3 linked regions of the Arabidopsis thaliana genome follow. The protein of the gene in region 3 interacts with the protein of the main gene of each other region in a pairwise test. Each region holds a gene or a part of one and is shown on either strand. Other genes may lie near its edges. The genes, in order: KNAT7, KNAT6 and BLH7.

Region 1 (7,974 bases), on a different chromosome or scaffold from region 3:
AAGTTTTCGCCGGAGAGATATAAGAGAGAGTGTGTGGATCTGAAGGAGATGGTATAGGGAGACGTTGTGATCGGTGTTGCTTCTTTTTATCCCAATTTCTCGGGGAAGCAATAATCTTTTTAGTTTTTTTCTTTTGACCACCCATCGTTTCTTATTTGAGATTTGTGACCCATGAGTTTTTTTTCATGAATATTTTAGGAAATTGTTAAATTTAGGTGACATTACCAAAAATTAAGCAAAACATGTGTAGATAATTGGAGTAGTGATAAATTTTTGTTATTGAATTTAAGAAAATGTTTTCATTAGTACTTATACAACTAGTTAACTTAAATTTAACATAAAATAAACAAGTTATCCCGTTTTTAAAATTATATGATAAAAATAGTTCTATGGATAAAAAAAAATGCTATTAATATTTTTATAAGAAAACTTGTTATTATGTATAAATTTGTTGTTACTTTATACACTTTTAATAGCATAATGTAGAACTTTTATTCAGTAAATATAAGAAGACTTTATAAATTTTATTTCGTGGAAATGTCATTGAAAAAAATGTGTTAGTAGGAATAACAAAAAATTATTTCAATATATGAATATAATATGTGACAGATCACCCTAAACATGAATTATTGTGTTTCGTAGTGGTTTTGTGTGTTTAAAATAGTTTATTGTTGTCTGAATTTTAGACAGAGATCTGTGAAAGCGGTGGCGTGAGAAATTATTAGTTAAACACAAAGGAGATTCCACTTCATTGGGTGTCTGAATTTAAAATATGTATTATTCGTTGCAATTTTAATTAAAGAATCTCTTTTTTTTCTTTTTACCACCCTTTTTCTGGTCAACTACTACTCATACTATTTTTTAATAGTGAAAATTAAAAAGTTCGAAGAAAAAGAAAAAAACACTTAAAACACGTTACTGTTTTGAATTTACAATTCACAATTATCGACTATAAATGCGTATATTATATTAAGCATCCGAATCTTATGAGATCAAAGAGCTAACTTAGCAAAAGAACCCGTTAACGAATCGGTAACCCTTTAAACATAGTATCATTTCAATAAATATACAGATACATCTCAATTACAAATTAATGTAGTGATTTATATCATATTCATATGTACATAATTCCACCGATTTTTGGTACTAAATATTGTAATTGCAAAGTTTCTATATATATTGTAATTGATTTGACATCGAAACTAATGAGGTTTAAACCAAAGATCTGGATCTATACAACATTTGATATATTAAGCATATAAAACTCCAAATGTACAAATCCCCCTGCCCTTAAATACCATACACGTTATCGAAAATATATACGTATGTCACTAACATTCATTTATTAAGCAGTCAGTCCAACTTCTTTTGTCAAATTAATTAGTAGTTTAATGTTATAGTAATCGGGGGTTACCATAAGGCATAAAGTAATGTCTTTACTTTTATATATATATATATAAACAGATCGGATCTTCTGTCTGAATCGTAGTGGACAAATGATGGCGGCATGTGGTGACTTTTCTAAGATAGTAAGATCCCAAGTTCTCAATCTCAAGAGCTATTTTTTCTTTTTTAATGAATACATCATATATCTATTTCTCGGTCTAGTTGTGTTTGTAAACTCGTTTGAAAATATTAAGTTACACAAATCTTGGTATCAAATAAAGAACTAGAAAACTATACGTTAATTAGTTTTTGAGAATACCAATAATCTAAACTGGAATTAAACTAATCCATTTTTATGGACGATTTCTTTCATTGATCGGTCCAAAGATATTATGATATGGCTTATATTTTATAAAACACTGCCTTTTTTGTCGGCATCATTACTTTATATTTCCAAATGATGGTCTAGTCATCCACGGAAAACACGTTACAAAATCAGTGTTCTTACCAAAAAGATAAATTTGAATGCACAATACAAACAAAATGAATTACAATCTAGTAACAACCAGTAATCACGCAACGCACAAATCATATAGTAGTCGGTGGATCTAATAAGCTAAGTAAGTACATGATATTAATGATCACACCTCGTTATTATCAGTAACATGAATTACGTATGTATCATGCATGTCTTAGCAGTGTAATTAGTATGAATATATGTAGAGGTAGTAACTAATATAGTAAGAAGAGATTAGTGTTTGCGCTTGGACTTCAAGGAAGTGAGGGAGTGAGAGTTGTTGTGCCAATTCCTCTTGCGTTGGTTAATGAACCAATTGTTGATTTGCTTCAACTGCAATCCTGTCTCCTCCACCAATTTTGCCTTGTCATCTTCCTGTTCAAGACACATATTTTTTTACATTATAAATTTGTTGTTGTTAATGACATTTTAGGAAAGAAAACAAAAACAATCAGTTTCAGTTTCAACGAAGAGAGGCCAATGCATGTGCAGATCTGATAGCGTCAAAGGCTATTTCTTTTCCACTATAGCATGCAACTTTAGACTGTAGTCCACCTTTTTGGCTTGTGCCAAATATTGAACGGGAGAGAGATGTATAGTGTTTTTGAGTATTAGTAACAAATTCAGTATGTTTGAAGAATAGAAAAAAAATGCATGTTGTGACTTTGAGTGTAACCAAAATGGGTCTTGATTGTTTCTTTGCATTTACATATCTATCTTCATTTGTTGTTTCATGTTATAATGATTATCATATTATTTCATGAAAACGTAAACCCAAACAAACAATTAGACGGAAACTATATTTGTTGTTCGTAAAATATAGAGAGTACTCACCGTAGGGTAAGGCCATTTGCAATGTTGTTGCCACCAATTTTTCAAGACAGTAGTTGTGTCTCCTGGCAATTTCCCAGCCCTTCTCTTCCTCATTATCTCTTCTCTTACATCTTCGATTCTCGATTTAAAACCCTTATCCGAAAAATAAACAAACGTCATAACAAGAAAATAAATAGTAAAATAACTGTATTACTATTGTGAATCATAACATATTAGTTAATTATACCTGTTTGAGTTCTAGTTTGAGTTCTTGTCTGACTCTTTCCATAAGGGATCTTTCCGATTCAGTCGGTAGCAACGGACCAAATCCCGTCATATCGTGGCCGCCGCTAAAATCAACGCCGGAATTATCTGACGAGAAATCCATCGGAAGATCATCCTCATCCTCCGACATAGTCGCACCCGACCCTTCTCCTAAAGTTGCTCCTACAAGAATACAGAACGTTTTAAACGAAATGTTACTCCAACAGTCAAACTACAAGATTTAGACGTCAAGCCCAAGCCCAAACTTAGGCTCAAGCCTGATATGCCCTTACGCATACAATAATCCTAATCAATACATCCCACGCTTTACGTGGTCATCAGTGCAAAAATAAATATTTTTAATAATTTCGTATAATTAAGAAATTTCATCTTTAGACTAATCATATAATATAACTATATAAGCACAAATAAAATCTCTATTTCTTATTGTGTGGGCATATAATATACTCTTCCTGATCATCTTCCAACACCTTACATTTAATATGTTTACTAGTTGTTCATATCTGGTATGATCAGCAAGAACCTTTAGATATACCTAACTCTATTATTTGTTTTAACTATCGCTAATTTTTAACAGGAATTTTAATTATATATATCTTAAGTACTTTCTGATTCTATAGCTATGTGGTATATATAATAACATGTAATTATCATGAAGTTATGTTTTTTAATTGGGTTATAAAAAATACCATTAAAAAAGTGGAAAAGAAAAGAACCTGTAAGAGAATGAAGGTTGTTCTCAATTTCACGGCAAGCCATAACAGCTTCGACGGCATGAACCCTCACGTGCTGTTGCAGCTGTTCTTTGAAGCTACACAACACCATTACATATTGTGCCTGTTTCCAATTAATTATAATTGTTAAATGTTTTATATATCCTCTCACATTTCATATAATTATTCAATGTGTAAACATTTTCCACATATATGCATACACACATATAAATATGTGCTTCTGGTGTGGTGTGTTTTGAGCGGTTAGATCATTATATAGTCCTATTTTCTACCTAACTTAAATAAATATAAATAAAACCGAATTTTTTTGGAACATTTCACAAGCTAATTCCAAAATTATAGTTGCAATATCAATTCCAACTTTAATGCAATTGCAAATTTTAGGTCGGAGTAGAAAATCAATCGTAACTAACATGATAATATTCAAAGTTTAAATAGAATTTCAATTTAATTACAAAATGACATTTAACATTGACTCACTCTATGTGAAATTTAGCACCTAACTATACAAAAAACCATATCTACATCTATGTGTGTGTATTATACATTTGAACATTCGTGTGAAGATACATAAATTTCCATGAAAGTTGAACAAAACCACTTCTTCACAAAAATCAGGTAAAAAAATACCAATAACTTAAATCATTGGAAAAAAACATAATTTGTTTGAAGTATAACTTCCCACAAGAGGAATTAGTAATTATAAAATTTATAGAAATTGTTGATATATTGACAAAAGGTTTACATCTTCGATCGATAAAACTCCCAACGATCTTGTAAAAAGTAAAACACGAAAATCATTGAAAAAAACATAATTTGTTTGAAACATAATTTCCCAACAGAGATTGGTTAGTAATCATAACTTCATTCAAAGTTAGTCCACTAGAAACCATCAAAAAAAAACTTTCAAATGAAAAAAGATAGAAACAGAACTTGTAAGTAATTTAACCAAACAAGATTATTTTTTAAAATATAACTAATAAATTTATATTCAAACGTACCAAGAAATTATCGAGCTCGTGACGATCATGATGGTATCCAACGGCCGTGGAAGCGTAAGAACGGAGAAGATGATGAGATTGAGAAAGCTGAGCTTCAATGATCGGAAGTTGATCTATTGGAGTAGCTACTCTTAAACACGCCACGTGTGCGGCTAATAATTGCTCATACATCGGATGTGTCGCTATCTCACCTTTCAACTGTCTATTCTGCTCCGCCACGACCGCGGTGTCTCCGTCTCCGCCTACGGTGGCTCCCATCATACCTAGTGCCGCTTCTTGCATAACCTTGACACAAGACCGGAGAGAGATACTTTTTGTGTCTGATCAAAACCCTAATTCTTGAAGCAGATTGTGTTCGTATGATTAGAAAAAGAGAGAGAGAGAGAATTGTCAGATGAAATCAACCTATATAAAGCTGTCCTGATTTCTTTCCCCTTTAATTGTTTTTCACTCCATTCTTTTCTAAAAATATACATTATTTGTTTATAGATTATTTTGTCTTATTTGTATACAAAATACATTTAAAACAATGTTTGTTATACACGGGTCTGGTCCGGCCATACCATATATTATTTTTACATAGATCAAATTATATTGAAAGTATTATTTTTGTATTGTTAATCGAAAGACTGAAAACTAGAATTACTAATTTTCATCAGATATGTGAATACAAACACACGGACGTTGATTGTTTTATACGGTGATTGTTATCTTTACAATTAATCTGAATTACTTTAGTCTAGAAAACTGCTACTATATATATGTTTGATTCCACAATATGCTGATATATACCTTGACGTAAAGTTATGAAAAAAGTGCACGTTAACAACGTGCTTTACAAAAATCATAAATACGTGTATATGTATGTATATAAAATGTAAACTTAAAATAAAAATTAAAAACACTTTTATTTTCCTTCTCGTGACAATGATTTAAGACCTAATAAGTGATCAACAACTTGAACTTAAAAATTAGTTGAAATTTTGAAAAAGAATGAGGAAAATAAAATATCTTCCCACCTTTAACGACAGGACCGGTAGACACACCTAATCCTCTAACGCCCACTTAACAAATAGTATTAACACCTAATTGATAATACTATTTAATAGTATAGAAATATAGTATATTTGTTTTCTTCTTTTGGTAAAGAACAAATATAATTAGTTATTCTTTTAAAATATTAAATACTCAATTACGTGATACAGTTAAATTTTTTTGGACAAAATGTGATACAGCTTTGATGCACCATTTCTTAGTCATATAACCTTAAAACAGTAACACTCTGATAATTTAATTGCAGTATTATTTGATAGATAGAAAAATGCTTTCATATTTTTCCTAGTTTGATATGAAGTTAATATAGCACACAAACAATAGTTTGATATATGAACTTTAATATATACTAATAGTTTTTAGCTAGAATTTCAGAAATATCCATAAAACTGAAAAAAAAAAAATTGATGTGTTGTGAAACGTTGTTAAGTCCGGATACTCTTGTGGCATGGTTTTTTGTAACGTCATGTAATAGTTCCGTTCAGAATTACAAATCTTCTGAACATACATGTTGGACGTTAAAAAAATTATTTTTCCACTTCATCGTTTAAAAAAATATATTCTTAAATCTTCTGGTTTTCCTCCGGCTTGGCATATTGGAGCCAATAGCCATCCAAGTAGTCTTAAGTTTTTGCAAAAAAAAAACTGCAATTAATTACAAAAACTAAAATAATATTTCATCATAACAATGGAATCCTTGGTCGTTGTAATTGCATATGTTGCATGTAGTTTATATCGTAATAGGATTAGATCAAATATTTTTAATAATGCCAATAATACATGACACAAAAAAAACTAAAATAATAGCACATAATATATTCTATAAACAAAAATAAAAAATACAAATTAAAAGAGGATTTTGCATATTATTAAATGAAAAAGAGAATAATGCACGCCTTCACCAATATGGAAAAACTACTTTCCATTTCTCCCTTTTTATGTAGTTATGTACAAATTCCCTTTTGTTTTACGCAATGACATCAAAAATATTCGTTCGTATAGAAAAATGAAAGAAACAAAATAAAGAGGGACAAAGACAGAGTTGGTCGAACAAAGAAAAGAGGGACAGAATTGTCGTTCTCTTAAGCCTAAGATTTAAGACATCTCACATCTGAAACAATTTGTGGTCCTATGAAAACGACTTCTCAACTTATAATAATGCTTTTGACACAAAAAAAAACTTATAATAATGCGGCCATTAATCAGAGAACAATGAGATACTATTAGTGACACGATACTAAGTTTTAGTGATTTAATGTACGGGCCATATAATATTGTGAGTTTGGTGGACCTAAAAATAATTCTCATTGGGCACTTCATTAAGGTCTCAAAGCCTAAACACTTGTACACATGGGTTCGTAATTGTTTCCGTGTGTGATATTACTAGCATAAAACGTTTCCTAGCTATGTGACTCCTCAAAAAAAAAAAAAAACTACCATTTGATTAGAGGTAGATTTTCATCAAACATATTGTATTCTTATGAAGACGCCAGACGGCATATTTCATCAAATTATAATTCTTGATGCCTCGTTAATTAACGTGTAGGCAACGATCATGTTGTTTTTTTTGGTGTAAAAAATGACCATGTTTTATTGTTTATCAATGACTTTGAATGTAACTTTGCTCATTTGATTTTCTTTAATAGTTACTACTTACTACTAGGCCACTAGCGGTGTTACCTTGTAAATTCATCACCGTGAAAGAAAGAAAAAATCATCACCATACGTACCTTACTTGTCACCAACGAAATATATATATATGTCCCAAAACCCCCAACAACATGCATTTTAACATAAATTAAAACCGTTTTTACAAAAGAAAAAAAAAAGAAAACAATCCACAAAAACGGAATCACACGTAAATATAATTAATTAATTAGGAACAAACTCATATTCCATGAAACCTGGAGAAGTCCTTGTAGCAGAAGCAACGAAAGCCCTAGAATGCCCCACCATTGACACTACTCTAAAAGCTTCTTCTTCATAAGCTTTTCTCTCCATTTCTTCCCTTTTTGCCCTTCTTCTCCTTTTCTTTGCCGTCACTACAGCAGCCGCCACCACCAGCCCTAAAAGCACCACCCCCACCGTCACAGACCCAACAAGCCCTCCAACAACCTTCCTCCACCGTCCGATCTTCTCCTTCTTCATCTCCTTTTCTCCTCCACCATTCGATTTTGGATCATCC
Region 2 (10,084 bases), on a different chromosome or scaffold from region 3:
AATTTCTGACTAAAAAATATGGGACGCATATATTCTCCGACCGCAGTGGGCATAACACTATAACAGTGCTGATGCAGTTTTTATTATATAATTTAAAACAACACCTATGTGCATTTGTTAGTTTGTTACATATTCTAAACTTTCCTTATTTATTTTTATATTAAAAAGAGATTTCCTTTTGTATCTCAATTGTTTATATGCTCTATATTTAGACCGGATCTCGACTTAATTAATATTGAACATTTTACATCACTGAAATCTTGAAGAAGAAGTAAAACTATTAGTAATATACTAATATCCTATCTTGACCCAAAAAGCATAAGGTTACTATAACTCAATACGCATAACATTATGGTTCGTGCTACTTAAGCTGCATTTCACTAGATTTATTCCCCCATATATTCCATGAAAAGATATGTCATTAGTCACTCATGAATTACATACTATTTATTTATCTTTTTCGAGCTAATAAAACCACAAAGAAAATGTATTCATATTGTTTGTCAGATTGTCCACGTACCGCATTTGGATTGGTTTTTTCTTGTCACGTTTGGATTGGCTAAAGTTGATACTTTACACATTGGTTGAATATTTATTTAAATATAGTTAGAAACAAATTTTGGCTTACGTCCATCAGGAGGTGATGGTGTATATAAGGCTTGATTATGAACAACAAAGACCGAGACATTTGGTGCTCTAATCAGATTTCTAATCCAGAAGATTTTTGGTCCACAGACCACAGATATATCTATTCTGGGTTACTTTGTCCCTTCCTATAATAGCAGGTATGTTCACATTTAACAACTTTGTTGAGTGGGAGGTTTTTTTCTCCTAACATAAATGAGATCAATTATTACTCTGTTATGCTCAATCATGTCCAAGTGGTATTATATAATTCTTTCAAATAAACCCGCAATTTCTCTTTATGATATTAACACTGATTCCGAACTTTTATACCAAAAGATTTTCAAATGATTCTTATAGTTTTATCAACAAAAAAAAAAAAAAACAGATTCTTATTAGTTATGAATGGGCATATACAACCATTGCTCGAATCATATCAATTATATATCTTACAAACATTGCTGGAATAATATCGATTATTTGTTATGCATCATATTCCAAAACTAAGATATCAAGGGTTTTTGCAAAACAATACCCACATAAATATAAAAATTCTAAAATTAACAGGTTAAATACCGATATACCTAACCTAGATCACTCCTTTATTTGATGTAAAACACTTGACTAGTCGGCTACTCGGCTATAAACCTATAACCAGATATAACTATCAATTCAAATATTAAAAGTGTAACAACTAACAAGTGGTTCAAGCTGATGATGGTATGGGTATAAACTAGTAATCCTAACATTTTATAAAAGTTGGGTGAGGATCAACGGTCGGGATCCAAGGGAATGGGATGGAGGGACCAAAGCTGTGTTTGTTTTTTATATGGATTCATACGAAACCGTAACTTTGTGTCAGATAATTTTCGAACAAACATGGCCCGAAAATGGATGGGTCAATCAACCTGTCCATCAACGAAAAGACCCTTTTAACACTTTTTTTTAATAGAGAAAATAGAGGAACATATTTGATAAAATATTGGTTTATAAATCTTGTTATTGTTTTTCCGTTGATGATTTACATTATGGAAACAAGGTTTCGAAGCACTAAACTCATTAAATATGGTTGCAAATCTATAAATATTGGCTAAAAAATCATGGCTGGTCACTATGAACGTTGGAGATTAGTTTGGAAAAATTCCATAGTTATTAAAAAATGGTTGAGAGGCTTAGTAAATTTCCTCAATAATTTATTTGTTGGATCCTAGGTCACAATTAGAATGGACCACGAGCCGAATTATAAATTCAGTACTTTAGCTGCATGTATAATACGTAGACGAACTTTATAATTGGGTTACATATATTTATGTCGTCTTACATTATTTGGTGATAGATTATTGCAATTATATAGATAGGTAGGGAGATAGGTACAGAAAAATGAAAAGAATCTATCAAATCACAAAGCCTAGATATGTTGATGGAAAATGAATATAACATCGCACGTAGTTTCCTGAGCTCAATACTCAACATCAGCATCCAAGTGGCGCATCGCATGGATAACCAGAGAAAGAAAATATTGAACATTTTGATTGTGTCTCCAGAAAAAATTTGTATTGTTTTTTCTCACCAAGAATATGCATATGTGAACAAATAATATGTTAAATAAATAAATAACATATTTTCGTCTGATCTTTGCCAATAATAAGAAGGCAAACTCGTTTGTGATATATATATTGTTTTCGCTTTTGTGACTTCATATTTATCTAATTTCAAGTCTCCTTTCTTTAACTTAATTTCCCCTTGATTATTTATGATACGTTAGGTGATTTAGAGCAACCAATAGTTTGCAAGTACCTTTAAGATGAAAATGACTTTCTCTAGTCTTTGAGAAAAAAAATAAAAACAGAAACAAAGTTTATATTAAAGTAGTATGAAAGAACATGCCACTTTCTTGATTGAAAATTATATGATAGACGTAAAAAGCTGTCGACAAAACTAAAAGAATAGTTCCATTCGAAATATTATAGATGCTCTCGTTCTATTTTCTTTTTGGTTAAAGTGCTCGTTTTTTTCTTGATACTCTCTTTAAATTACGGCCAATTTCATAATTTCAAACTTAATACATATGTAAAATCATTAAATATACCAAATTATGCTTATGTCTATTTTTGTGAATAAATTACATAGTTCATTTTCATAAGCTAAAGTCATCATGAATATCAGCATCATCAATTTTGGCATAAATTTCATAAATCATAAATTAGCTAAGACCATTGATTTTGCAGCTCCTATACGCCTAGACCAGCGTTTATTTTATTCTTAGTTTTATCCACAAACTTGCTTTATACAGAACTATTCTAAAGTAAACACTAGCTGATACTATATACTAATTTAATCTTAATTAGACGATTTTCCATTAGGGCCTTCTTATCTACTATCTAGGAACGGACCTTCGCTTCTCGAAACCCATTTCATCCCGTACAATCGAAGTGTCCAACATCCGAGTTGGTAAAAAATTTCTTACTACGTAGTAGGTACTAAGAATCACTTATCATATCCATATATTCTTCACATTTGATTTATTTCATACCATCATTTGAATATATATGTGTTGATTATCATTTTGTTAGTAGTCGTGTTCGATAATTTTGTTCTGTATCTAGCAACAAATTTACAGTGACAAGTATTAAAATAATACCGCTCTTTAACTATATATATGTATGTATCAGCTCACTAGTTGTTTGTAACCAGTTCTTGTTTTTCCAGTTTGATATATTCGATTCAACATACCCAAAACATCTCTCATATACTGAACTAATATCTATTTCTAATTGACTCGATTCAATATCATTAGTACTATATTATCTTCTGATATGCGACTTCATTTGTTTTCTTTCTTCTGTTCGGTTTTCCACTTGTTGTTTAACATTTTCACCTTGTTTCACTATTTGCAATCAAATAAACGATTTATGTAGGTGTATCTATATATGTTCTTAGGATCATAATAAAAATATATTTTCTACAAAGTTTTTCGAAAATATATATACATTGGGGATTATTTTTTTAACTGTCTACAGCTCACACATGCATATTATCATATTTGAATGAAGATAACGATACAATGCCGATACTGATACAAATCATTATGTTAGATGCTCAATTTGTTTCTATAGGTCCTATAATATATACATCAAGTCATCAACTATACTTTTTGAAAAGAAAATTACACAGAGCTTTCAAATAAGTTGCGTGTAGTTTAGTGGTTATATGTACTAGTAGTTATGTTACCATCTAAGTGTATTGTCGATGAGAAAAAAAAGAGTTCAAATAAACTGACATAGTATGCTGGTAAATAATCACACTTTTTCCGTTTTTTCCATTTCGTTTTCAATAATATATAATTTTGTTTCTCGCCATGTTTCATTGATATTAAAAATCTCATGATCATGCAAATTCTATCATAACACAGCCTTGGACCTTTCTTAGATATATATGTTAGGAAGGCCTTATCTCGACCTATGAAGCCTGAAGCTCCATTGAGCCTTTTAGCATATGTCCTTTTTCGTAATTATCATTTTATTTTTCTTCTCCGTTAACTTTCATATCTTTTTTCTTCCAAAAGAAAATAAATTAAGATCCCTCGAGCCTCTCTCTCTCTCTACACACTCCCATAGAAATAAATATTTTCAAGAACCAAAAAGTTTGTTATAAGCGGTTTCATATTATTCTTCTTCATCGATTCTTGATTTTGCAAGAAGACAATTCAAGAAAGCGATTTAGAAGACGGAGGAGTTCTTACCGGAGATCTTATACTTATGGATGGAATGTACAATTTCCATTCGGCCGGTGATTATTCAGATAAGTCGGTTCTGATGATGTCACCGGAGAGTCTCATGTTTCCTTCCGATTACCAAGCTTTGCTATGTTCCTCCGCCGGTGAAAATCGTGTCTCTGATGTTTTCGGATCCGACGAGCTACTCTCAGTAGCCGTCTCCGCTTTGTCGTCGGAGGCGGCTTCGATCGCTCCGGAGATCCGAAGAAATGATGATAACGTTTCTCTAACTGTCATCAAAGCTAAAATCGCTTGTCATCCTTCGTATCCTCGCTTACTTCAAGCTTACATCGATTGCCAAAAGGTGATCGTTAACTCTTTCTTTTTTTATCACTTAGATAAAATCTAGGTTTTACTTTTTAAAGATAAAGATAAGATTGAGAAGCTTTGATATTTGATTGTTTTTTTTATAATTTTATGGTTTAACAATTTCATAATTTAGAAACAGGTCGGAGCACCACCGGAGATAGCGTGTTTACTAGAGGAGATTCAACGGGAGAGTGATGTTTATAAGCAAGAGGTTGTTCCTTCTTCTTGCTTTGGAGCTGATCCTGAGCTTGATGAATTTATGGTCTCTCTCTTTTTTTCCCTCGATTTTTTTTCGGATTTTTATTTTTGTTAAAATATTTTTTTTTGGAAATTTTTGTACTTAAGAAGATAATTTATTATCAGGAAACGTACTGCGATATATTAGTGAAATACAAATCGGATCTAGCAAGACCGTTTGACGAGGCAACGTGTTTCTTGAACAAGATTGAGATGCAGCTACGGAACCTATGTACTGGTGTCGAGTCTGCCAGGGGAGTTTCTGGTATGTCTTAAATTATCCCTCTCTGGTTCGGTCTTTTAGTGGTTCTATTTTGTGGTTAGTTCTGAATGATTTCTTTTGATCTTTTCCGTGGTTTTTCATTAATAATATCCTTTCCTCGATATTTCCATAGGGTTTTGATTCATATGACCAGTTTCTGAAAAATGATTGGTAGCTTGTTGATAGAATAACCCTAGGCTTTTGAAGTGATCAGAAAGCAAAATAGATAAAAAATGAAAAAAAAGAAGATAAACCCTAGCTACAAGTTTCATTTCCATAGCTATTTTTCCCTTGATGGGTTTTGTTTTGTGTGTGCTTTTCTTTTGGGCACGTTGAAACTCTGGAGACAAAGATCTGTTTAAGGTGTTGTGCAATTATTTTACTCGTTCATTTAATGTTTTAGCCATGGGATTAGGGTGTTGGAGTGTGGTGGGGATTTCCTCTTCTTCTTGTTGTTGATCTTTGTGCTAATCATACAAATTTTACTTTATATCTTTTTCTCTTCTTTCTCTGTCAGAAAGAAAATGGTGTAGAAAGCAATAAACTTTTGTGGTAGAGATTCTGATTTTGACGTTTCAGAGGCTTGTTGCGTACTGAATGTTTTTTCAACTTGTTGCTTTTTTCTAGTGAAAAACCAATTGACAGAAAAACCTAGTCATAACTTTTTAACAATATGTGTAGTTGATTTTTCATGAGCTTCTTTTGCTTCACTTCTCGTTTAACAATAAGTAAGTATAAGTACTAGTCATAACTCATAAGTCGCTTCACTCTTGTTTATGGGTAACAACCTTATTAGGTTACCAGTTTTTCTAAGACTTCAACTTCTTTTGGTCAGATGATTATTAATAACCAATAAGCCATAAGAGTTATTAGCTGTAATTCCTCTTTAAGCTCATTCACAGATTCTCTGGATCGGAATTAATAAGCGTGTTTAGATAATTTTACGATTAAATTTCTGTTATATCTTAATAACACACCATATAATTTTTCTATCTAATTAAATAGGTTAAAACAATAAAGTTAAAATTGTATTTTAAATTTAATATAGAAGTCTACAAAACGACATTCTTTGTGAAATAAAAATTTAATCCTGAATTCGACATTTATTATGAAGAACGTAACTTTGGTCTATTTCAAGTTTCAATGATCTGAGAACAAGAGTAGGGAGATTTTTGTTGATCATCGGAAATAGTATCATTGCCAAGTGGCCACTCTTATCTGCATGTTCTTGTTGGAGTCTTGTTGGACTTATATGTAAGTAATAAACCAAAACTGACTCAATTTTGAAGCGATTTAAAAGTCTAGGTTTTATGCTTATACATGAATGAAATGCTTCAAATAAGTGACTTTCTTTGTGGTTTACTGATATTATCTCTTTAGACCACATATTGTACTACAACTAGCAAAAACATTGTGGCCATAACAAATCAACCGATCAGGTTAGCTAGAAATACTGATCCTTAGGAGTTTTTTTTTTAATACAATAAAATAGAAGAAAAACTCCAGCTGAAAGAGTTAGCTGTAAAGAAATGAAACTCCATAGATTGGTAGACTTTTTTTCAGCTTTGCAGGAGTTTTCCATTATCGTGGTCGATCTCAAATGCAGGTTCCACTTGTACTTTGGTAATATTGTTTATTGGGGGAAAAAAGCTGCTGATATATAAAAACATATCAGCTTATCTTTATAAACTAATCGAGAGTTAGCATAGAGTATCAACTGGAAAAGTTGAAAATAGATCGATGCAGGTTTTCCATAATGGACGAATGTTTATGATTAATAATTTTAAAATTTGTTCAAAGTACAACTTGCCTTTTTGAATGATCTCATCTGTTTTTTTTTTCTTTGGTTGTGTGCTTTATTTAACCATCTTTTTCTTTCACCTGAATGAAATCATAAACTAATAAAGAAAAAAGAAGCTTACAATTGTTAGACAATATTCACATGGGATGCGATGTTATCTACTAGTTTCTCAGTTCAATCACATGCTTGGTTTCTTTCATGTTGATCTGATTTAGTAATACAAGTTGATCACATAGACTTTTGATTTCTCACTTCTTGGTTGTTGTGATACGGTAATGCAACTTAGCGAAAGCCCTTCTTTGGACTAGCTAAAAAAGCAACACATTCTTTTCTTCTAATGCGTGGTTATCTTGCTACTTAGAGTGGATGGTCTCTTATTGACTTTTATAGTCAACATTTGTCTTGTTGCATGCAATATCATCAATGTTACATGTTTGCATATTTGATCTAGAAGATAAGAATACTGCAACGAGAAGAATAGGAACATAGTGCATGATTAGCTTGAATTAGAGGTTCTTTTGGTTTTTGTTATAAAGTAAAAGGTGGAAAAGTCACATGGACTCCCGTGGATTCCGCTAATGACCCCACCAACTTTCTCTCCTAAGATTTTATTTTTGATTTGGTTATTAAAAAAAAAAGGAGACATAGGGTTCTCTACACACCACAATCAAATCATCTATAAGACTGCGACTATGCTTCTTCTCTATCTTTCTCAACTCTTTTGCCATGCCCTCTGGTTGCGTTGTTCCCTTGGTGGGTCGTATTATGTCTCTCTGAGGCACGCTACTAGCACGTGTCTACTTGCATGTTACCTTCTTCAGTGAACCCTATTTTCAAAGCAGTCAATGCATTGCTGAAAATGTAAATAATAATCCCAACCATACAAACTATCGTTTTTTGCCATTAAACTGTTACCCTAACTACTCATATGTGTGTAATGTGAACGTAATGGTCTCTATAATATATGATCAGTTCATGTTTTATGCATTTTAGTATATTTTTATTGGCCTATTTAACATCTCTATTTCCTTCATAATTACTGTGGCTGCTGTAGAAATCTTTTAACTTTTATAATATGTTTATAAAACTGACTGAATTGCGTGAATTATAAATTGACTGAAATTACCTTGGCTGTTGTAGAAATCTTTTAACTTTTTTTAATATATGTTTATAAACTGACTGAAATTGCGTGTATATATTATGTAGTCCAGTATTTTGTGTGACTGACTAAATATTTTGACTAAGCACGGTTGCTTGGTCCGACTATATATTCTGTCACATAGGCAAAACTATTGTAAAATCAGGTAATGTTCTTGAATCGTCTTTGGGTTGAGTTTTGGTGTCAGAGAAGCTGGGTAAGTGGGTCAGTAGAGTCGTTGGGGCATATATATAAATGTCCAAATACATTAAAGAAAGAGAGAGAGAAAAGGAAATTGAGTTTTGGGGTATCGTGGAGAACATAAATGAGAGGTGTAGCGTTATTTCCGGGGGTTCACACAACCTCTAAATGGTATTTACACGTGTCATATTGAGATTGGGTAATTAGTAGGCCTAAGGGGGGATGTCTCCTCATGGGGACAAGACTATTAGTCCTCTCCTGACAAATGACAATGGAGGTAACTATTCACTGCGGCGGTTTTTTGACTGCTGCACTCAATCGTGTGCGTCCTCGATATTCTCTACCCCTTACCACTCTTTCTTCTTTCCCTTTTTTGCCCTCTTTAGCCACTTAGCCGTTTTAGCCGAGAAAGCCCATTTAAACTTTTTCATGGTAGTGAATAGTGATAATTCTGTTACATTTACTTGCTATAACCTATAACCATTCTCTGTCTTTGATGTCTTTGTATAGTGATAATTCTTGTGAATTTGGTGTAACAGAGGATGGTGTAATATCATCTGACGAGGAACTGAGTGGAGGTGATCATGAGGTAGCAGAGGATGGGAGACAAAGATGTGAAGACCGGGACCTCAAAGATAGGTTGCTACGCAAATTTGGAAGCCGTATTAGTACTTTAAAGCTTGAGTTCTCAAAGAAGAAGAAGAAAGGAAAGTTACCAAGAGAAGCAAGACAAGCTCTTCTTGATTGGTGGAATCTCCATTATAAGTGGCCTTACCCTACTGTAAGCAAAAGCAACACTTGCATGTTTTCCGACATAACTAACCACTACACTTATATATAAATGGGTGGTATGAATGTGTGTGTACACAGGAAGGAGATAAGATAGCATTAGCTGATGCAACGGGGTTAGACCAAAAACAAATCAACAATTGGTTTATAAACCAAAGGAAACGTCATTGGAAGCCATCAGAGAATATGCCTTTCGCTATGATGGATGATTCTAGTGGATCATTCTTTACCGAGGAATGAATTTATTTATGGTACTTATTTAACGTTGATTAAAAGATGGATGTATAATTCTGCCTTGCTTTGCCGACAAAGGAAAAAAAGAAAGAAAGAGTGAAGCATGGACGACACATGAAATGGATCTTACACTCACTCACATGTAGTAGAAGGAACAAGTCAAAATGCTTTGTAACTATTATTATCGGTGAATAAAAATAACCTCTTTTGTCTTCTCCGGACCTCTCGTGATATAGCTTTTACCCTCTTATTGGCAAAACGTTGAACAAACAAAATACTTAGATAGGTTAGATTTGTTTATTAACTATGTGTTTTTCAAAAATAATTATAAAATATCTTGTTATTTGTGTAAATCACACTAAATTAAACACATTCTTTTATTGACAGTTTAATCATCATGTACATTTTGCTAATTGTAGCCAAAAGTTTAGCTATCTAGCAATTGGAACCTTGTGCCCATAATCCAACCATCTCTGTTTAAATTTTGGGGTGGGTTTCAAATTATCCTTATTGGGCCTAAAATCGGCCCAATATTAAACTGAAACCAGACTTTTATCCAATCCGAGTAATCGGAACAAAACAACATGATCGTGTGAACCAACGGCCAAAAAATGGCGGCTCTACTCGGTATCGTCTCTCCTGTGACTTTCACCGGAAAGCACCCGGTAAATTCCCGATCGCGACGGAGAACGGTAGTAAAATGCTCGAACGAAC
Region 3 (7,164 bases):
TATCTCGCTTGTTGGAGCATCTCGCATACTAATATTGGATGTTCCCCTAAACCCTTCTGTGACCCGCCAAGCTATTGGGCGAGCGTTTCGACCCGGACAAAAGAAGATGGTGCATGCATATAGATTGATTGCTGGGTCATCACCTGAGGAAGAGGATCACAACACTTGTTTCAAAAAGGAAGTCATCTCAAAGATGTGGTTCGAGTGGAACGAGTACTGCGGATATCAAAACTTTGAGGTAGAGACGATCGATGTGGATGAAGCTGGTGATACGTTCCTCGAAAGTCCTGCCTTAAGAGAAGACATAAGAGTTCTCTACAAAAGGTAAAATCAGTTTAGATCAGATCCACACATAACTCTTCAACTCACATTTCTCTGTTATTGAACTTCCTTAATGCTTCTTTTTTCAGGTAAACGCAGACAGAAACTTGTGCTTCCGCTTTTTGGACATGCTTAGGTTTTAGAAACCTGTCAATAAGATAACTTCGGGTAGATCCTTTTGAATTTTCTGAATGATTGTTAGCATTTTAAGTGTAATTTTAATGTCAAAACATTTGATCTCATGTACCTCTAACCATATAATTAGGTCTCCTCATGTTTAAATATGAAACAGATCGTGTCTAATCTCAGATTGTCTCCTCATGTTTTCTCATTAATCTACAATTTCGTTTTTTGGGTTTACTTTCACAAAAGAATCCATTTCTACACCTTTCTATTCTCCTCAAGCTACAAAATCATGCAACAATTGTGAAGAGCCAATCTGGTGCTGGTGGTTGCGAGAGTTTAAGTACTGTAGATCGGTTCCCGAGATGGTATTCTTGTAGTTATCTATCCCACCGGACATAGGAACATCGCCACGAGCATCGGAATTCTGAATCCCCAACGTTAAAGACATCCCACCATTACCATTTCTTGTCATGTCAGTCACCATCATGAACCGGTCACCACCATGGGCCACTGTGTTTTGTCTCATGCTACTGCTTGCCACACCAGGTACATGCCCATTGTTGGAACTAGACTCAGTTTGCAGCTCTTGAATCTCGGTGATTTCTGGTGTGTTTTCAGAAGACTGGTTGGGATCATTCTCCTGCAATGCATCTGTGAATTCCTCCTTGTACATCTCCTCCACCATCGGTTTCCAGAGACGCACACGCGCATTTATGAACCAGTTCGATACCTTTCAACAATCATCAAACGAAACAATGAAAAATGAACACACCAGAAAGAAAAGTATTAAATGAGAGAAACGGCACAAAAGCTAACAGTGCAATACCTGGCCTCGGCTCAACCCCGTTTGTCTAGCGAGCATGATCTTGTCTGAATCCTTTGGATAACTAAGCTCAAGGTTTTGAAACAAATGGTCAGAGTCTCTTGTGGTCAATCAAAAAATTCACAAGAGTAGTAGAGAGACTTACGGGTGGAGGAAATGCTCAAATAGCCAAGCACGGAGAACCAAAACAGAAGAATCTGGTAAACCGCGTTGAGGCCGCCAAGTGTGAGGTTGCATCACACCTAACCGCTGCAACGCTCTTTGTTGCCTTACCTGTTGATCAACATTCCTTAACCTGCTTATCCCCACTCCTCTCCCATCTGATCCATCCTGTTCCCCTCCTAAACTTTTCCTTATCACCAAGATTTGTCCGGATATCGCATCCCTTAAGCAACGGAAATGCCTCGAGATGGTCTGAAGCGCAAGGGCTGTGTATGGTTTGGCTGCTCCACATCCGGCTATTACATCGAAAGACGACACGACTATCTGCATCTGATGGTAATACTGCTTGTAATTTCTATCCACCTTCAAACAACAAAGAAACAAACAACATTTATGTTACCACGAGAATCATTAACAAGTGTAGAAGATATGTTGTAAGGCGGATTACCTCGTCTAATATCGATAAAAGTTTCGACAACTTGCTCTGCAATTCTTGCCTCTCTGCTTGAGGGATTTCAGCAGTATTCGTCTGAAGATTCTTCTCTTTCACTTCATTAATCTTATCTCCCTCTGGCTGAAACTGCTTTAGAGCTTTCTTAACATTAACAGTTTCATCAAGAAGCTCTTGAGCAGCTTTGAGATACTTTGAGTTGTGAATGGTTCGAGTAAATCCCGAAACAACCTGTGTTGCATACTCATTGTTATTATTGCCTCTCGATGTCTCAATCTGCGAGCTGAGGCCAAGACGCCTCATCACCGGGAAGCGATTCCTGTCATTGTCTTCTTGATCTCTCCAAGAACCAGAATCTTGAATCTCAACCATTTGTGAAACTCCACCAAGGCTTGACAACACTTGAATCTCTTTTGAAGGTGACACATTATTAGTTGAATCTCTAGGAAATGTCTCTGTGAAAGAATTTGTGTAGTTCATTGCGTTTCCAGGGACAAATTCTGGTCTGGAATAAATCTCACTTGAGCCAGTTTTGTAATAAGTGGCCATAGTCTTCTTCTTCTTATGATCAGATCAAACAAGGAGTCATCTGTTTCAGAATCAAACACAAACAACACTAAACCCTTTTTATACTTCACATTATGTAATAAAATCTTAATTAAGCAAATTTTAAGAAATTGAACCAATGAAAATTATGAGAATTATCTCTCTGCATGAATTTAAGAATTTAAAAAGAAGAAGAAAGGATAGATTAAAGAATTACCAGGAAAGCATCTGCTGGCTTTGTGGGTGTTAAAGGAGACACTAAATCTCAAATTGAAGAAGGAAAAAAGAAATGTTTTTTTTTTTTTGTTTTAACTCTTGATGATCCCAAGAACACAAACTTAACAACAAACTCTTTATCTCCTCAAATCAAAATCTTGATAATACAAAATGTTTTACCCACACAAAAGATTCAAGAAAACAAAAGATCCATCCTCCTTAAAGCAAGTTTCCTTTTTGAAGTAGAGATTTCATTAAAAGCTGGTTCTTGAACTTGCTTCTTGATTCTTCTTCTTGTTTCTTGGAGTCAAGTCTTTTGGTGAAGATAACAAAAACAGATCAAAATGTTTTCAAGAGTAAAAATGTGGTAAGGAGATTATGTTCTTAACAAACCAGTTGGTAGAGATCTAAACCCTTTTCTAAAACCTAATCCTAAACCCTAATGCCTCTCTCTTTCGTCTCTCTGGCCTTTCTGTTTGTTTGCTGCAATAAAATTGAATGAAGCTATAACCACCATACAATCATTTTCTGTGTTTTTTATATTCTTATCTAAAAATATTTGATATATTCCTGATTGGTGTCAATAGTAAAAGATATTTTCGTAATTCTTCTATAATAATGTGTTTATCAAGCATATTTGGAGAATAAGACAAATATATAATGAACGTTTTTCATATCTAATTTTGGTGCTATGCAATTTTTTAAATATTTCATGTCCGATTTGTAATCAAAGATAATATTAATTTTTGTGTAGACTAGTCCATCTTTATTAGAGTGGGGAATAATTTGGGTAACGACGTGTCAAAGTTTACACACGGATGTTTTTTTTCAACTTCTTTTCAATAAAATAATTTCACTTTTTTGGTAAGCTTTTTACAGTTTCTTCTTCTTTGTCTTTAAATTTCACTTTCAAGTTTCAACATTTGATTTTTTTTTGTTCTTTCGAATAATATCTGTGATGGTCCACATGCTATTTACTATATAGTTGCATTTGCATACAACTATTTTTGCAAGGAATAAACAAAAAAAAAACACTTCATATTCTTATCTCTTTCTCATAAATAATGAATAAGTGGCCTTTTTCCCCACTTAGCTTTGTCTTTTTGTGCCCACAGATTTTAGGTATTTCTACAAATTTTCTAACTTTTACTTTCTTTTCACTAAGTGTAGGTCCATATCTTGTCATGGAGGACTTTACGATTACGAATCAGAAACAAATTGAGAAAATCCCAACTCCAAGACATTTTATAATAAGTCTGATTTGTAGTATAAGGTGGTACGAAATGGTGGTAAGAGGTAAGTCAAATTAAAATGTGTGGTGAGATATCTTAGTGTGATAGAAAATGGTGGTACCACCTTTTCTTACCAACACACTGAAAGGTTATAGTTTTTGCATGGAGAGACCAAAATAGACTTTTTGTGAATTAAGTGATTTAGTTATTTTCTATGAAAAAAAAAATTACGAAATACACAAGAGTTAATTTTGTGGGAAAACATAGGTAAGCATTTTATTTAAATTTACACTTCAAAATATGAGAATAAAAACTTGAAAAGAAAATAAAAATAGTAAATTGGGGTGGATAAGTGAAGAACGTGAAATGATGGGTAGCGAAGAGAAAGAAGTCTGAATTGGGACAGAGATGGCAGAAGGAGAAAGAGAGAGAGAGACCTGGACAATGGACAGATAGAGTCAGTGGATAGGGAAGAGTGTCTTCATAATATACGACGACCAACCAACCCTTCTTCTTATTATTATTAATCCAATATGAACATGACGCCGAAGATATTTGCTTGGGAAATAAGAGAATTGTAAATGTTAAGTTTTTATTAGTGCCCTACTTACGTTGAAGTTGAGATTCTATTGCTTTTAGTAAAAGAATTAATACACAAAACACTCGGATTCTTTTTGCTGGTTGAAATACGTTTAATTATTAGCATGATTATCTAGTCCAACCACTTCCACACTAATATAAGCACCAAATGCTCATCAGTTACATAATTTGAATTCAATATAATCCTAGAGCCACATTTCTCTAAGAGAACCAAGTATCATATTCCATTTGGTCCCCTGAAGAATTAGATGAACCAGCTTGCCGGAACTTGTTGAACCTGGGTCTCTTGGGTGAGAGCTGAGTATCTTGACCAACTAGACTACAATGGAATGTTGTTTATGTAATCTTCATTAATTTTACTGATAATTAATCTGGTTCATGATAATGTGACAAAACAAAAAACATTGCGAGTACAATTAACTTGATCTCTTCAAATTGTCTACCAACTTATCTATGGAAAGAGTTATTAACTCATTAAGGACGTGTCTGTTCCAACCATTTAAGCTATTGAATCTGTGCATAGGAGTGTCACAGAACTATATCTTTATAAGAGATGGGAAACTAAATTGACACAGTTTTGAGATTAGCGATACAGAGATGATGCCAAACCCAAAGCCTTTGTGGCAAAAATGACGGATTTAGATTCATTTATAATATTATAGACAAACCTTATGAGCTTGTCTTTGCTCTTTTCCATACAATGACAACACCATAGAAATCAGACGAAGCCAACAAGTTCTCCCCATGGTTCCACGCAACACACATTACTGGAAACCTGTGACCCTGCAAGCATCCATTTCTCACAACTCGTGAATCCTGTTTCCTATAATTCAAAATCCATACACAAAAGTTTCAGATAAAAAAAAAGAAAAGAAGTTATTGTCTAACCTGTAGCTTGTTTACACATGTGTGCTTCGGTTTGGTTAGATCATAGAAGTAGACATTCGAGTCTTCGCTTCCAGCAACTGTAGTTTCAAACAAGAAGAAACGCGGAGAAAATGACTTGCACTTCTCAAGAGACCTATGAATCTACTATTACCAAAACTATAGGTAAATGAAGGATTGAAATTCAAACCTATGTATTCTCCTTTCTCTAGTGATAATAGCGGGCAAAACGATGCTTGGATTCTGTGTATTCGCGGGGCTAATTTGAGGGAGCAACGCAAAGTCAAATAACCTTTTATCTGAAGGGCAACACTGCATCACCAACACAAAGCAGAAAAATCAATTATAAGGATCTCTAAGGACCTTGACAAAAAAAAAAAAAAAAAAAAGGATCTCTTAAGGAAAAACAAGAAAGAAAAAAAAGAAGTAGTTCTGTCGCCAAACCTAAAGAAACTCAAGTTTCCGTCCTGAGTACATGTGAGCAGAACAGGGCCTGATGCCAGGAGGGAGAAGCTTCTGTACTTCACAGTGGTGACAGGAGATTTGTGATTTGTACGATGACGATGAGACCGGGATAATGACCCTGTATGCGAATCCATGCTTACTGAATATACAGTTCCCTGCAATTATTATTAACTACCTTGTAAAAACAATGTAGAAATGCCTTTTTCTAGCATACCGAACAAATGCAAAAATTGATCAGTCTTGACCACAACATAGGTAATCGGTATAGCCAACCATAACCATAACAGACCATCTCCCTAGTTTTTATCTTTTTACATCAGTATAGAAAAGTTACCTGCCCATCTCCACAGAAAATTATTTGGCCAGTGTGATCATGGTCCATAGATGTCACCTCATCCTCAAACAACAGTTTTTTAATAATTCTCCCAGTGCTGAAATTGAACACCTACTTTGTCAAGCAGAGAGATGTTAGGCATAAAATAAGTAAACAATTAGAAAACAAACGAAAAAAGCAATACACTAATGTACTTAGCTACAAGGAGTAGTGAAGTTACCGTGAGTTCCTTGTTTGCATTGCCAGCAGAGAGGAAATTGTTATTAACCTGTTGAAAATATGGAAATGAAATATCTTCAATGGAGAAGCAAGAGAAAACAACAAAAACCATCCGCACTCAGTATCTTATATGAGACGACTTTCACAATCAAAACAAAAAGTTGCAAGTTGTTACAAGGGAGAAATATATAGATGATGAAGAACATCTTTGACAAAAAAAAAAAAAAAAAAGATGATGAAGAACATCAAACTTACAGGGTGGAAACGGATACAATACTGTGGAGAGATTCCATATATAACTCTAATACAAACGCCTCTTGACAACTCCCATACTCGTATTGTCTTATCAAGTGATGATGACGCGATGTATTGATTGTTTGACGAGAAGTCAAAATCTGATAAGAAGTTTGTATTAATATTAGACATAGGATCTAAACCCAATGACATACATACACACTTATGCTCTATCCATTACAGATAATTCTTTTACATTTTCCACTCAAATCTTACCCCTAACAAAGCATAGAAAGTAGGTACCATGTATCATCATATTCTCAGATTATTCAAGAGCAATTCAGTGTAGCAGATACTGAGATACAGAAAAGACAAAAGTAACAGTACCAGTCAATCGAACCTGTGACATCTTTAGAGTGACCTGTCAACTGCTTGAGGACAGAAGGCTCTTCTAAGAGACTACAAACTGTTAAGCTTCCATCTGATGCTCCATATGCAAGTATATCAGAACTCATATGACCAAACTTGAGAACAGTAACTGCATAAAGTT

Evidence for each region.
Region 1: the proteins of BLH7 (region 3) and KNAT7 interact in a two-hybrid assay, tested with the Arabidopsis thaliana proteins (2 studies listed by BioGRID).
Region 2: the proteins of BLH7 (region 3) and KNAT6 interact in binary tests that used the Arabidopsis thaliana proteins (3 or more experiments, as listed by UniProt).

Annotation. Positions count from the first base shown.
Region 1 is NC_003070.9:23,334,512-23,342,485, reverse strand, and holds KNAT7 (homeobox knotted-like protein), read right to left. Parts: upstream 5,320-7,974; 5' UTR 5,019-5,319; coding exon 4,737-5,018; intron 3,839-4,736; coding exon 3,718-3,838; intron 3,164-3,717; coding exon 2,964-3,163; intron 2,870-2,963; coding exon 2,738-2,869; intron 2,279-2,737; coding exon 2,138-2,278; 3' UTR 1,794-2,137; downstream 1-1,793. Other genes in the region: AT1G62981 (transmembrane protein, putative (DUF1191)), read right to left, coding at 7,662-7,974. UniProt on the Arabidopsis thaliana protein: May be involved in secondary cell wall biosynthesis.
Region 2 is NC_003070.9:8,296,791-8,306,874, reverse strand, and holds KNAT6 (homeobox protein knotted-1-like 6), read left to right. Parts: upstream 1-4,274; 5' UTR 4,275-4,382; coding exon 4,383-4,703; intron 4,704-4,841; coding exon 4,842-4,970; intron 4,971-5,071; coding exon 5,072-5,210; intron 5,211-8,886; coding exon 8,887-9,128; intron 9,129-9,217; coding exon 9,218-9,376; 3' UTR 9,377-9,584; downstream 9,585-10,084. Other genes in the region: MENG (S-adenosyl-L-methionine-dependent methyltransferases superfamily protein), read left to right, coding at 9,982-10,084. UniProt on the Arabidopsis thaliana protein: Plays a role in meristem function. Contributes to the shoot apical meristem (SAM) maintenance and organ separation by controlling boundary establishment in embryo in a CUC1, CUC2 and STM-dependent manner.
Region 3 is NC_003071.7:7,100,769-7,107,932, forward strand, and holds BLH7 (BEL1-like homeodomain 7), read right to left. Parts: upstream 3,161-7,164; 5' UTR 2,647-3,160; intron 2,473-2,646; 5' UTR 2,433-2,472; coding exon 1,881-2,432; intron 1,796-1,880; coding exon 1,416-1,795; intron 1,335-1,415; coding exon 1,274-1,334; intron 1,178-1,273; coding exon 722-1,177; 3' UTR 501-721; downstream 1-500. Other genes in the region: DRD1 (SNF2 domain-containing protein / helicase domain-containing protein), read left to right, coding at 1-324, 411-414; AT2G16405 (Transducin/WD40 repeat-like superfamily protein), read right to left, coding at 5,147-5,260, 5,366-5,442, 5,553-5,674, 5,807-5,982, 6,162-6,272, 6,382-6,429, 6,636-6,775, 7,015-7,152.